Linked DNA regions of Kluyveromyces lactis. Each later gene encodes a partner of the first gene's protein in a complex. Links are inferred from orthologs where the notes say so. Each region holds a gene or a part of one and is shown in the gene's direction. Other genes may lie near its edges.

Region 1 (2,989 bases):
CCCGATAATAATGTCCTTTGCATTTGGCTTCTCTAACGAAGATTTCAGTGATGATGAACTAGATATTGCCAATCAAAATACAGATGATAAGCCATCTACTTCTGTCCCTCGAATCAATCCATTGGATTCCGAAGTGTTACTAGGAGAATCAGTGAATCAACCCAAATATATTGATCTGGATGATCTACTACGTTCACTCGCGAATGTCCGTCTATCTTTTGAAGAAGTGCAAACTCCAACAACAAACTCTGTTCTTTACAGACGTGAACTATTTGACGTTAAACATCAATTGATGTCAGAAGTGGATTCAGGCACAAATAATGTTGAATTGGAGATTTTGATGGGTGAAACCAATGAAGATTTGAGGAGAAATGTGTACGAAGGTGGTTTGAAATCATGGGAATGTTCAATAGATCTAGTAGACTCATTTGTTAAAAATCCAGCACAAATTTCCCAGTGTCAAAATATAATAGAGCTAGGATGTGGGACGTCGCTTCCATCGGAATTTCTTTTTATGGAATATCTAAGATCCAACATCAATACCGGGATTAATTTCACATTATGTGACTATAATGAAAGTGTGATTAGATTGGTATCCATTCCAAATTTGATCGTATCCTGGGCGAAAACTGTGATCAGTAATGAACAATGGATAGAGCTACAAGCTTCTGAAGATTCGAACATCCCAATCGCCTCTGATGAATTACTTCTGACAGAAAAATTACTTGAAGCTTTCAAGTCTGATTTAGAATTTAGAAATGTATCGTTTTCGTTCATTTCAGGTTCTTGGGGAAGGAAATTCATGGATGTTTTAATTGAACACAAGGCTACCCCGTTATCAAACACCTTAATATTAACCGCAGAAACTATATATCAGCCTGATACGCTCCCGGTTATATCAGAAACCTTAATTGAGCTAATCGTGGATAACAAAAAGAACTCATACCCGGTGAAATGCCTGCTTGCAGCAAAAGACATATATTTCGGCGTTGGGGGCAGCATAGTGGATTTTGAAAACTATATCGCCAAAAGGATAGCAACCGATAACCTTCCATTATGTTTAAATAAATTTAAGGTAAATGCTGGATTGAAAAGATCAATTGTACTAATAGAGTGAATCGCCACGTATGACTCTTTTTAAGGCTTGATCATCAATCACGTGATCAAAATCACTTTGTCGACATTGTCAGATTCATATAATATCGTGTAATTCAATCTTTAAATATAGCTTGCATTAAGCGAATGAGCATCAGCTGTACTATAAGGAGATAACTACTGTACTTAGAACCCCAGAATGGCTCAGAACGATCCACTTCAAGGCTTTGAGGATTTTCTCGAGGCTGATTTTCAGCCATTGCGCTTTGCAAACGATCTATTAAAAGTTACAAATAATGGCACAGATACGGATGTCTTGGACCTGAAGACGTGTGTGAAGAGATGCTCGTATGATCTCCAAGAATTAGACAGAAGAATTGAAGGTGCTATCAAGACCAACCCAAGCCATGTGCTAGAACAAATTGAGAAGAGAAAGAAGGAAAAAAGCTTTGTAGGAGATACTCTCAAATCAAACACGGAATATTTGTCTATGTCGTACAACAGATTACAACAAGACATCTTAGAGCCATTTGAAAGGGCACTTAAACTGCAGACAGTTTCTAGTAAAATTCATCAAACTACAACATTACTGAGAAGTTCCTTAATATATGTGCACATGATATCTCAGTTGCAAATGATGCCATTAGAGACAGACTCTACTGATGATGAGCAACTAGCATGCGGGTTAAAAATAGCTGCCTTACATTCACAATTGAAGATTAATATTGAACAAAATCCCAACCTGGCAACTTTGCAGCTGATAAAATCATGCGAGAACAATGTGGTTTCTCCAAATCGACAGGAATTATTGCGATATCTTTCCACCAATTTGACAAGGGATTGTCTAAACAATCTCAAGATGGAAAACAACCCTAAGAGAATTGTGACTTTAATCAAAGCATTGTATACTTTATCTCCAGTAGATCTTTTTGATACAATTGACAAAGTACTCAGTTCAAAAATTCAAACGACGGCTCAAGTGCTATCTAAGACCATCACATCCATTAGAAACTTCAACCTGTCATTAGATGATGCCATGGAAAATAGAAACTCGATACTCACTTTACAGAACTTAATGGAAGAATGTGAGATTGAAGGAAATACGAACACTCTTCGCAATTACCTATCTCAAAGGAAATTTTCCTCGTTGATCGATCAATTTTGGTCAAAAGTCACTAATAGTTTCAAAAGAGATTTCGAAATGTCCTACAATCGCGGTGGACCTGTCGGGAAATCTCTGCAAAGCAATTCCAATCTAATATATGAAGCCATTAGTAAATGCTTCGGTGAAAATGACCCTAGTAATGAACTACAAGGCGAACTGCAGTATATCTTGAAAGCCGTTAGTATATTAGATACAAACAGGAAATAAAAATCAGGCTTATATTTGTATATATAGAGTAACAAGACTGGTCCTTTATGGTTTAGCCTTCGCCTTACTTATAGCACCTGCATCTGCAAGGGGGTTCGTAGCCTTCTTTTTGTTTTTCTTTCCCCCACGCTTATGGAACTTCTTCTTTAGTAGCTTCTTTATCTCTGAATCTCTTTGCTTCCTCAGATCTTCTCTCTCTTTACCGTGTAATCTTGCCATTCTCTGCCTTTTACCTGGCCTTTTTCTCCGTAAATGCCTGATACGAACCTGCTCTGTGTGGACTTTACGATTATGCTCATCTACATCTATTACTTTTCCTCTGAACTGAAGCCATCCGGGATACGGTCCCAGCTCAGCATATTTTAATATTACATCTGCAGACACTGCGGCTGCAGAAAAGTTATGTCTGTCCTGCTCTGAATATTCTGCACAGTAATACGTTCTTGCTCTACCTATTGGAGCTGAGTCTGGACTCGGTTCACGAAGGCTGACCTTTATTAGGGCCGTTGCCTTTCTACCTCT
Region 2 (2,836 bases), on another chromosome or scaffold:
CTAAAGCTTTCGTGAACAAGCTGTGTACCAGTACTTAAATTCCAAATAAATAGATGAGAATTTTGGTTGGAATTACCGACTGCAGCGATTGTGTTTGAATGAATTTGGTCTATTGTAAGTGCGTCCCAGTTGTTAACGTGCACACTTGGCTTGAACGAGGTCACCAAATCATGATCTGATAATTTAAATAACTTAATGACACTATCTTTTGCTGGAATTGCATATTGGTCTCCTTTATTGGTCCATGCAACTCTAGTGCATGTTCTGTTATCTTCGCATAGCATAGGATCAAGTCCATCTATAGCGACTGAATCGGCGTTTTCAGTATTATTCTCAGTGTCCGCTGGTAGATCATCATTGAAGAATATCTTAGGTAGCTGATCATGCAATGTGTGGATTCTATTGGGTGTAGTAGAACTTAAAGAGTAGAATACAACGTTACCGTTACTGAGTGATACTGCTAGAATGTTATTTTGTTTGTTGTATGATAAACTAACCAGTTGTTCGTCCAAAGTTAATTTAACGTTTGAATTTCCCTCTTCTAATGCAACCAATGTCATTTCTAAATCATCCCCACCTACAACACATACTTTATCATCATGAACTAAGGCCAAATCACGCAATGGTAACGAGGATCTAAAGCATAACTTGTTCTTGTTTTCCAGTACATTGTACCAGTATAGGTCGCCATTGCGGGAAACAACATATAAACCATCAGCTGAATTTTGACTCAAAACAAATGCGCTTGGTTCTTCACAAATATCAATGATATCAGGTTCCTTCTCAAGATCAGTTAAATTAAGAACTTTCACCAATGCGTTCTTATTTAAAGTGAAAAGTCGAGAACTGTCACTACTCAACCGTGCCTGGGTGTTCCCACCAGCAACAAATACCCTATTTTCAGTTAGTTTAATTGCCATTGGATGTTTCTGGGTATGTCTGAAGGAAACTATTCACTAATATACTGAGAACTGAGCTTTTTTCAGTGCATCTTATAGATTTCAAGCAAGTTGTGTCTCATCTTCTACTTGTTAAATCACCAAGACGCGTTTTTTCTGTTAAAAATACACGTTAGCTAAGAAGACAGAAATGAAACACAGAACTAGCACCATCAAGTATTAGTTGACACTGTTATAGTAGTGACAGTGCAGTGCATGCAATTGCCACAAGGTAAGGATGAGGTATTGGACCAAAAGTATCTAAACATTCTTGATTATAGATTTACTTATCTTAAGGAAAATTAGTCACGTGATGCGCAGTAATCATATCACCCTTATTCATCTGTATTGCACCATCAGTTTAGTAAGTGTGTTCCGAAAACTACCCATTCAAACACATGTATCGGTCTTTGCCCTTGTTATATACATGTATTTTTCTAACTATCAATTCTATTCAGCGTTCAAGATATTTAAAGGTACGAATCGATCCTTATATTCGAACGATCATTACCAGAAAAACGGAACAAGAGCGAAAAGAGAGGGAAAGTACTGTGTGAAACTACTCTCACCCAGCGATGACCGACCTAAATGATGATTTGGATCTACCAGTAACTAAAGAACTAAGCAGAGAGTTAGTTTCCAATTTTGTACGGAAGAATGGCTGCTTAGATATAGATAAGCTATTACTTGAGAATAACTTCCAATACGTATCGTTAGACGAACTCTCATATGAAGTATCTGCCTTGAAGCAATCAATGGAACAAACTATACTGGATGAAATCAATGACAATTATCCCGAGTACATGGAAATATGTGACAGGTTTAATACTAGTGACAATAACGAGGTGTTGAATAAGTTAAAACAAGTCTTGAATGATCTACAACAGTTCAACAAGCAATTACTCCAACTTTGTGATTCCTCAGTGGCTGAAACTAGAGAAAAAACAGTAACAGCATTATCCTACCTAAAATCGCTTGATAACCTATTTGGTAAACTGGACGATATCACAAAGCTATCAGAATCGCTAAAGATATGCCAGCAACTTGTATCATCCTTACAGTCTATGGTGCAGCTGAATATCGACGACGAGCTTTCCTTCACAGTGGCAAAGCAGCTCTCTACTATACTAATACGTTGTGACTACAGATTTAGACATTTGGAAGACAATGATTCCACCCTAATTACTCGAATGAGAAACGACTTTAAAAGTATTCTCGAGACCGCAAAGCCTTTAATTAAACCCGTTCTCGAGAAGCAGAACCAGCAAACTCAAACCATAAAAACTTAAATATATGATAAATGCGAACCCAATTCAAATAAAGTGAGATTCCACCCCCTAGGTGGAAGCGAGTCTACGCTATGAGTATCCTTACGTAAATGTGTATAACATCTCTGACTTTGAGCCTCATCTCATCATAATGAACGATCTTGAATTTTTCAGTTCTTCACAACAAAAGCATCAACAAACATCACAACTAACATTAAATCTATAAGAACGAACTGACAATATAGCAGGGCCAGCGTACTAACAGAACACTGTGAATATCGATAAGGTTCAATTTTCTGTCATCAATTAGCCATGTTTGGTGCAGTGAATTCGGGAAATAGTTCAATGAACAATGGCGGCGGTTTATTTGGTAACAAACCTGCTGCTGGAAACACAGGGTTCCAGTTTGGCGGTCAACAACAACAACAACAGCCACAGCAGCAGCCTGGTGGTGCTGGTAGCTTGTTCGGACAGAATAACAACTCGATAGGTAATACATCAAACACTGGAGGAGGTCTGTTCGGAAGTACACAGCAACAGCAGAAACCTTCTACTGGGGGTTTGTTTGGCAACACGAACTCTGCCGCGGGAGGAACAGGCGGGTTGTTCGGCCAATCCAATCAGCAGAAT
Region 3 (2,661 bases), on another chromosome or scaffold:
AGTATAGATATCACGAACGTGTTTGACCCCGAGATACGTTTGGTTTGTGGTGATACGAATGGTGGCATATATGTGCTACGGAAGAACACCGGTACCAATTATAGCGGTCCATTACAAGAAGTGATAAAGTTACCGGAAGCGCACGCTAGTCACATCACCAAGACCCAATTTTTCCCTAACGGCCATGGATTCTTAAGCAGTAGTATCGATATGCGCTTGAAGATTTGGGATGCTTCAACCGGTACTGAGCTCAGAACTTTCATAGGTCATACTCGGTCAGTCAACGATTTTGCCATGGTCGATAGAGGTAGAAACTTCGTCTCTGCAAGTTCGGATGGATCATTAAAACTATGGGAATGCTCAACTTCAGCATGTGTCTTTACGCTCAATTCAAACGATGGCATAAATTGTATTTCATTGGCCAATTACCAGGGAAATCCAGCGACCACATCGTACAATGCATTGGACCATAGCAACGAATACAATACTGAGGGGAAAGCTGTATTTGCTGGACACGACTCTGGTATCATCACGTTTCATGATATCTATAACAGAAAGAAGATATTGGATATTTTACCGGCAAGTAAATCTGCATGTGTCACTCTAACGAGCCAGCACATTGCAGGTGATGACCATTACCTATTTGCTGGCTATTCGGATGGTACGATAGTATCATGGGATACTCGTAACGTTTCCAAACCGGTGGAGACGCTCCAGGTAAATGATAATGATTCTATCTCAAGATTATTCTTGGCACATAACACGTTGAACGTTTCTAGTGGGGTCCAATTTGCTTTCAATGTACCTGTTTTGGACGGGAAATTCAATTTCAATAAGCTTACACATCTAATTCGTCCTTATGATGAAGTGACTGATTTCTGTGTTGATGAATCACATCAAAATGTTTGGTGCGTCGGAAAAAATGGTATGCTATTGAAATACTGATTTGTCGTCCAGTCTAAAAGAGAAGCAATAGAATTGTAAATAGAATTATACCCATATATAGTCCAATAAATTATCCATACGTTGCTCTCATCAATGTGTATAGTAATATCTGCTTTGATATTGTATCCTTCTCTTTTAAACCTTTCTTACTGTGCATCTGAAGGCACCAAAAATCATCTTGAAATCTTAACATCAAAATGAAGAAGTTAACCTTCTACCTCTAAATATGATGATCATGAAACACCCAAGTAAGCCACCAAATCACCTTTGAAGGACGATATAGCACTATAATTTCCTACACGATGAGTAGAAGGATATCTGGTGCTAATGACCCTTTGCTAGACATGTTTTTCGATGATGATTTTGTACCTCAAGCATTCGTCGACATATTGTTATCATCTTTCCAGACAAGCCAATTAGAAGAATTGAAGACCAATTGCTCTAGTCTACTTTCAAAAATGGACTATTACAGTGGGCATATTACAAAAGAACTTGAGTCCACTATTCAGGTGCTTCAGAAGCCTGCTGAACTTATTATATACGCAGCAAATGAGGAACAGCAAGGAACAACAAAACTAGAGTATTATTTGGATACTCTAGCGAATAGTGTGAACTTATTAGAGACAGACGTTAAAGCTATTGATAAACAATTAGAAGAGCTGAATTCTAAATATGAAGACAGTAATGAGGTAACTGAAACCTTATCAAAGCTTACAGCAGCTAAAGAGCATCTGGTAACTGTTAAGAGATCATTTGATCTATTAAAGACCATAATGGATATTTCAATCCAAGATGATCAAGAAAAACTACAGCATATTTCGTTAGATGACTTTAAACTTGCATTATTGACGTTACAGGAGACCATTATCATTACATTAAAGAAACCTCAGAACGATGCAACCGATTTGTTGAAGAAGATAGACGCATTTATCGAGTTGAAAACTGTTTTGAAGGGACTTCAAAAGTTCTATATCCCATACACAGAATTTGCACAAGCTATTCAGAAGGAGAAGGATAATTATCTAAATAGTAAGGATACACTAGATGAGTTATGATTTTTATATGTGACCGCGAAAGTTGTTCTATATAATTGTGATCGTTGAACGATTGAATAATTCATTACATCAAAAGCAAAGCAATACTCATCTTCAGAATGAAAATACGATGTCTTTAAAGGATACACATATAGTATGTAATAGATGTAATACTTAGCCGAAAACTGATTCAGCGTTATGCCATTATATTATAGCCCTTTGAAACGTATCTTTACGCAATAATTCAGGTCTCAGCAGAATTATTGTTTCTTATTTTCATTAGGTCCCGTAATATGAGAAAAACCACCAACAGCACCACCAACTAAAGTGGGTACCATAGTCACTGAGGCGATGAATGAATGTTCTTCTTCTGATTCATTTTCATCACCACTTGAGCTTCTCCATCTGTTGATTGCTGTGATAGGATTGTATTTAGAGGGCTCCGAAGTAGGTGGATGCACCTTATGGCTGATCATATCAGATTTGGCCCGCTGAAAAGCCGTAGATTCCACTAAGCTAGAGTCATTGGCATATTCAACCAAAAGTGATGCTTCCTCGTCCTCATCATGCTGCTTTTTGTTTTTATTTCTTTTGAAGATGAACTCCAGCCCAAAGACATACAAGATTGCACGTACTAACCTTCTTGGGAAGATTGCTAAGGCCCATTCATCTGGGCAAGCTC

Evidence for each region.
Region 2: COG5 (region 1) and COG2 share a complex: the UniProt entries of both Saccharomyces cerevisiae proteins name them as parts of the conserved oligomeric Golgi (COG or Sec34/Sec35) complex. The link is inferred for Kluyveromyces lactis from reciprocal best matches to the Saccharomyces cerevisiae genes COG5 and COG2.
Region 3: the proteins of COG5 (region 1) and COG7 are in contact, whole or in part, in a crystal structure (PDB 4U6U), measured with the Kluyveromyces lactis proteins. Residues at the interface, in XP_455247.1 of Kluyveromyces lactis: Ile107 (codon at 1,613), Pro110 (codon at 1,622), Phe111 (codon at 1,625), Arg113 (codon at 1,631), Ala114 (codon at 1,634), Lys116 (codon at 1,640), Leu117 (codon at 1,643), Gln118 (codon at 1,646), Val120 (codon at 1,652), Ser121 (codon at 1,655), Lys123 (codon at 1,661), Ile124 (codon at 1,664), Gln126 (codon at 1,670), Thr127 (codon at 1,673), Thr128 (codon at 1,676), Leu130 (codon at 1,682), Leu131 (codon at 1,685), Arg132 (codon at 1,688), Ser134 (codon at 1,694), Leu135 (codon at 1,697), Val138 (codon at 1,706), His139 (codon at 1,709), Ser142 (codon at 1,718), Asn181 (codon at 1,835), Thr184 (codon at 1,844), Leu185 (codon at 1,847), Gln186 (codon at 1,850), Leu187 (codon at 1,853), Ser190 (codon at 1,862), Cys191 (codon at 1,865); in XP_451390.1 of Kluyveromyces lactis: Phe16 (codon at 1,293), Phe17 (codon at 1,296), Asp18 (codon at 1,299), Asp19 (codon at 1,302), Phe21 (codon at 1,308), Pro23 (codon at 1,314), Gln24 (codon at 1,317), Phe26 (codon at 1,323), Val27 (codon at 1,326), Asp28 (codon at 1,329), Leu30 (codon at 1,335), Leu31 (codon at 1,338), Ser32 (codon at 1,341), Phe34 (codon at 1,347), Gln35 (codon at 1,350), Leu39 (codon at 1,362), Glu40 (codon at 1,365), Lys43 (codon at 1,374), Cys46 (codon at 1,383), Ser47 (codon at 1,386), Leu49 (codon at 1,392), Leu50 (codon at 1,395), Met53 (codon at 1,404), Asp54 (codon at 1,407), Tyr56 (codon at 1,413), Ser57 (codon at 1,416), Ile60 (codon at 1,425), Thr61 (codon at 1,428), Glu63 (codon at 1,434), Leu64 (codon at 1,437).

Annotation. Positions count from the first base shown.
Region 1 is NC_006042.1:348,127-351,115, forward strand, and holds COG5 (Golgi transport complex subunit COG5), read left to right. Parts: upstream 1-1,294; coding exon 1,295-2,467; downstream 2,468-2,989. Other genes in the region: HPM1 (protein-histidine N-methyltransferase), read left to right, coding at 11-1,117; KLLA0_F03707g (uncharacterized protein), read right to left, coding at 2,513-2,989. UniProt on the Saccharomyces cerevisiae protein: Acts as a component of the peripheral membrane COG complex that is involved in intra-Golgi protein trafficking.
Region 2 is NC_006038.1:974,739-977,574, forward strand, and holds COG2 (Golgi transport complex subunit COG2), read left to right. Parts: upstream 1-1,513; coding exon 1,514-2,227; downstream 2,228-2,836. Other genes in the region: chromatin-binding protein CTF4, read right to left, coding at 1-920; FG-nucleoporin NUP57, read left to right, coding at 2,519-2,836. UniProt on the Saccharomyces cerevisiae protein: Acts as a component of the peripheral membrane COG complex that is involved in intra-Golgi protein trafficking.
Region 3 is NC_006037.1:777,287-779,947, forward strand, and holds COG7 (Golgi transport complex subunit COG7), read left to right. Parts: upstream 1-1,247; coding exon 1,248-2,000; downstream 2,001-2,661. Other genes in the region: RPN14 (Rpn14p), read left to right, coding at 1-945; calcium-transporting ATPase PMC1, read right to left, coding at 2,240-2,661. UniProt on the Saccharomyces cerevisiae protein: Acts as a component of the peripheral membrane COG complex that is involved in intra-Golgi protein trafficking.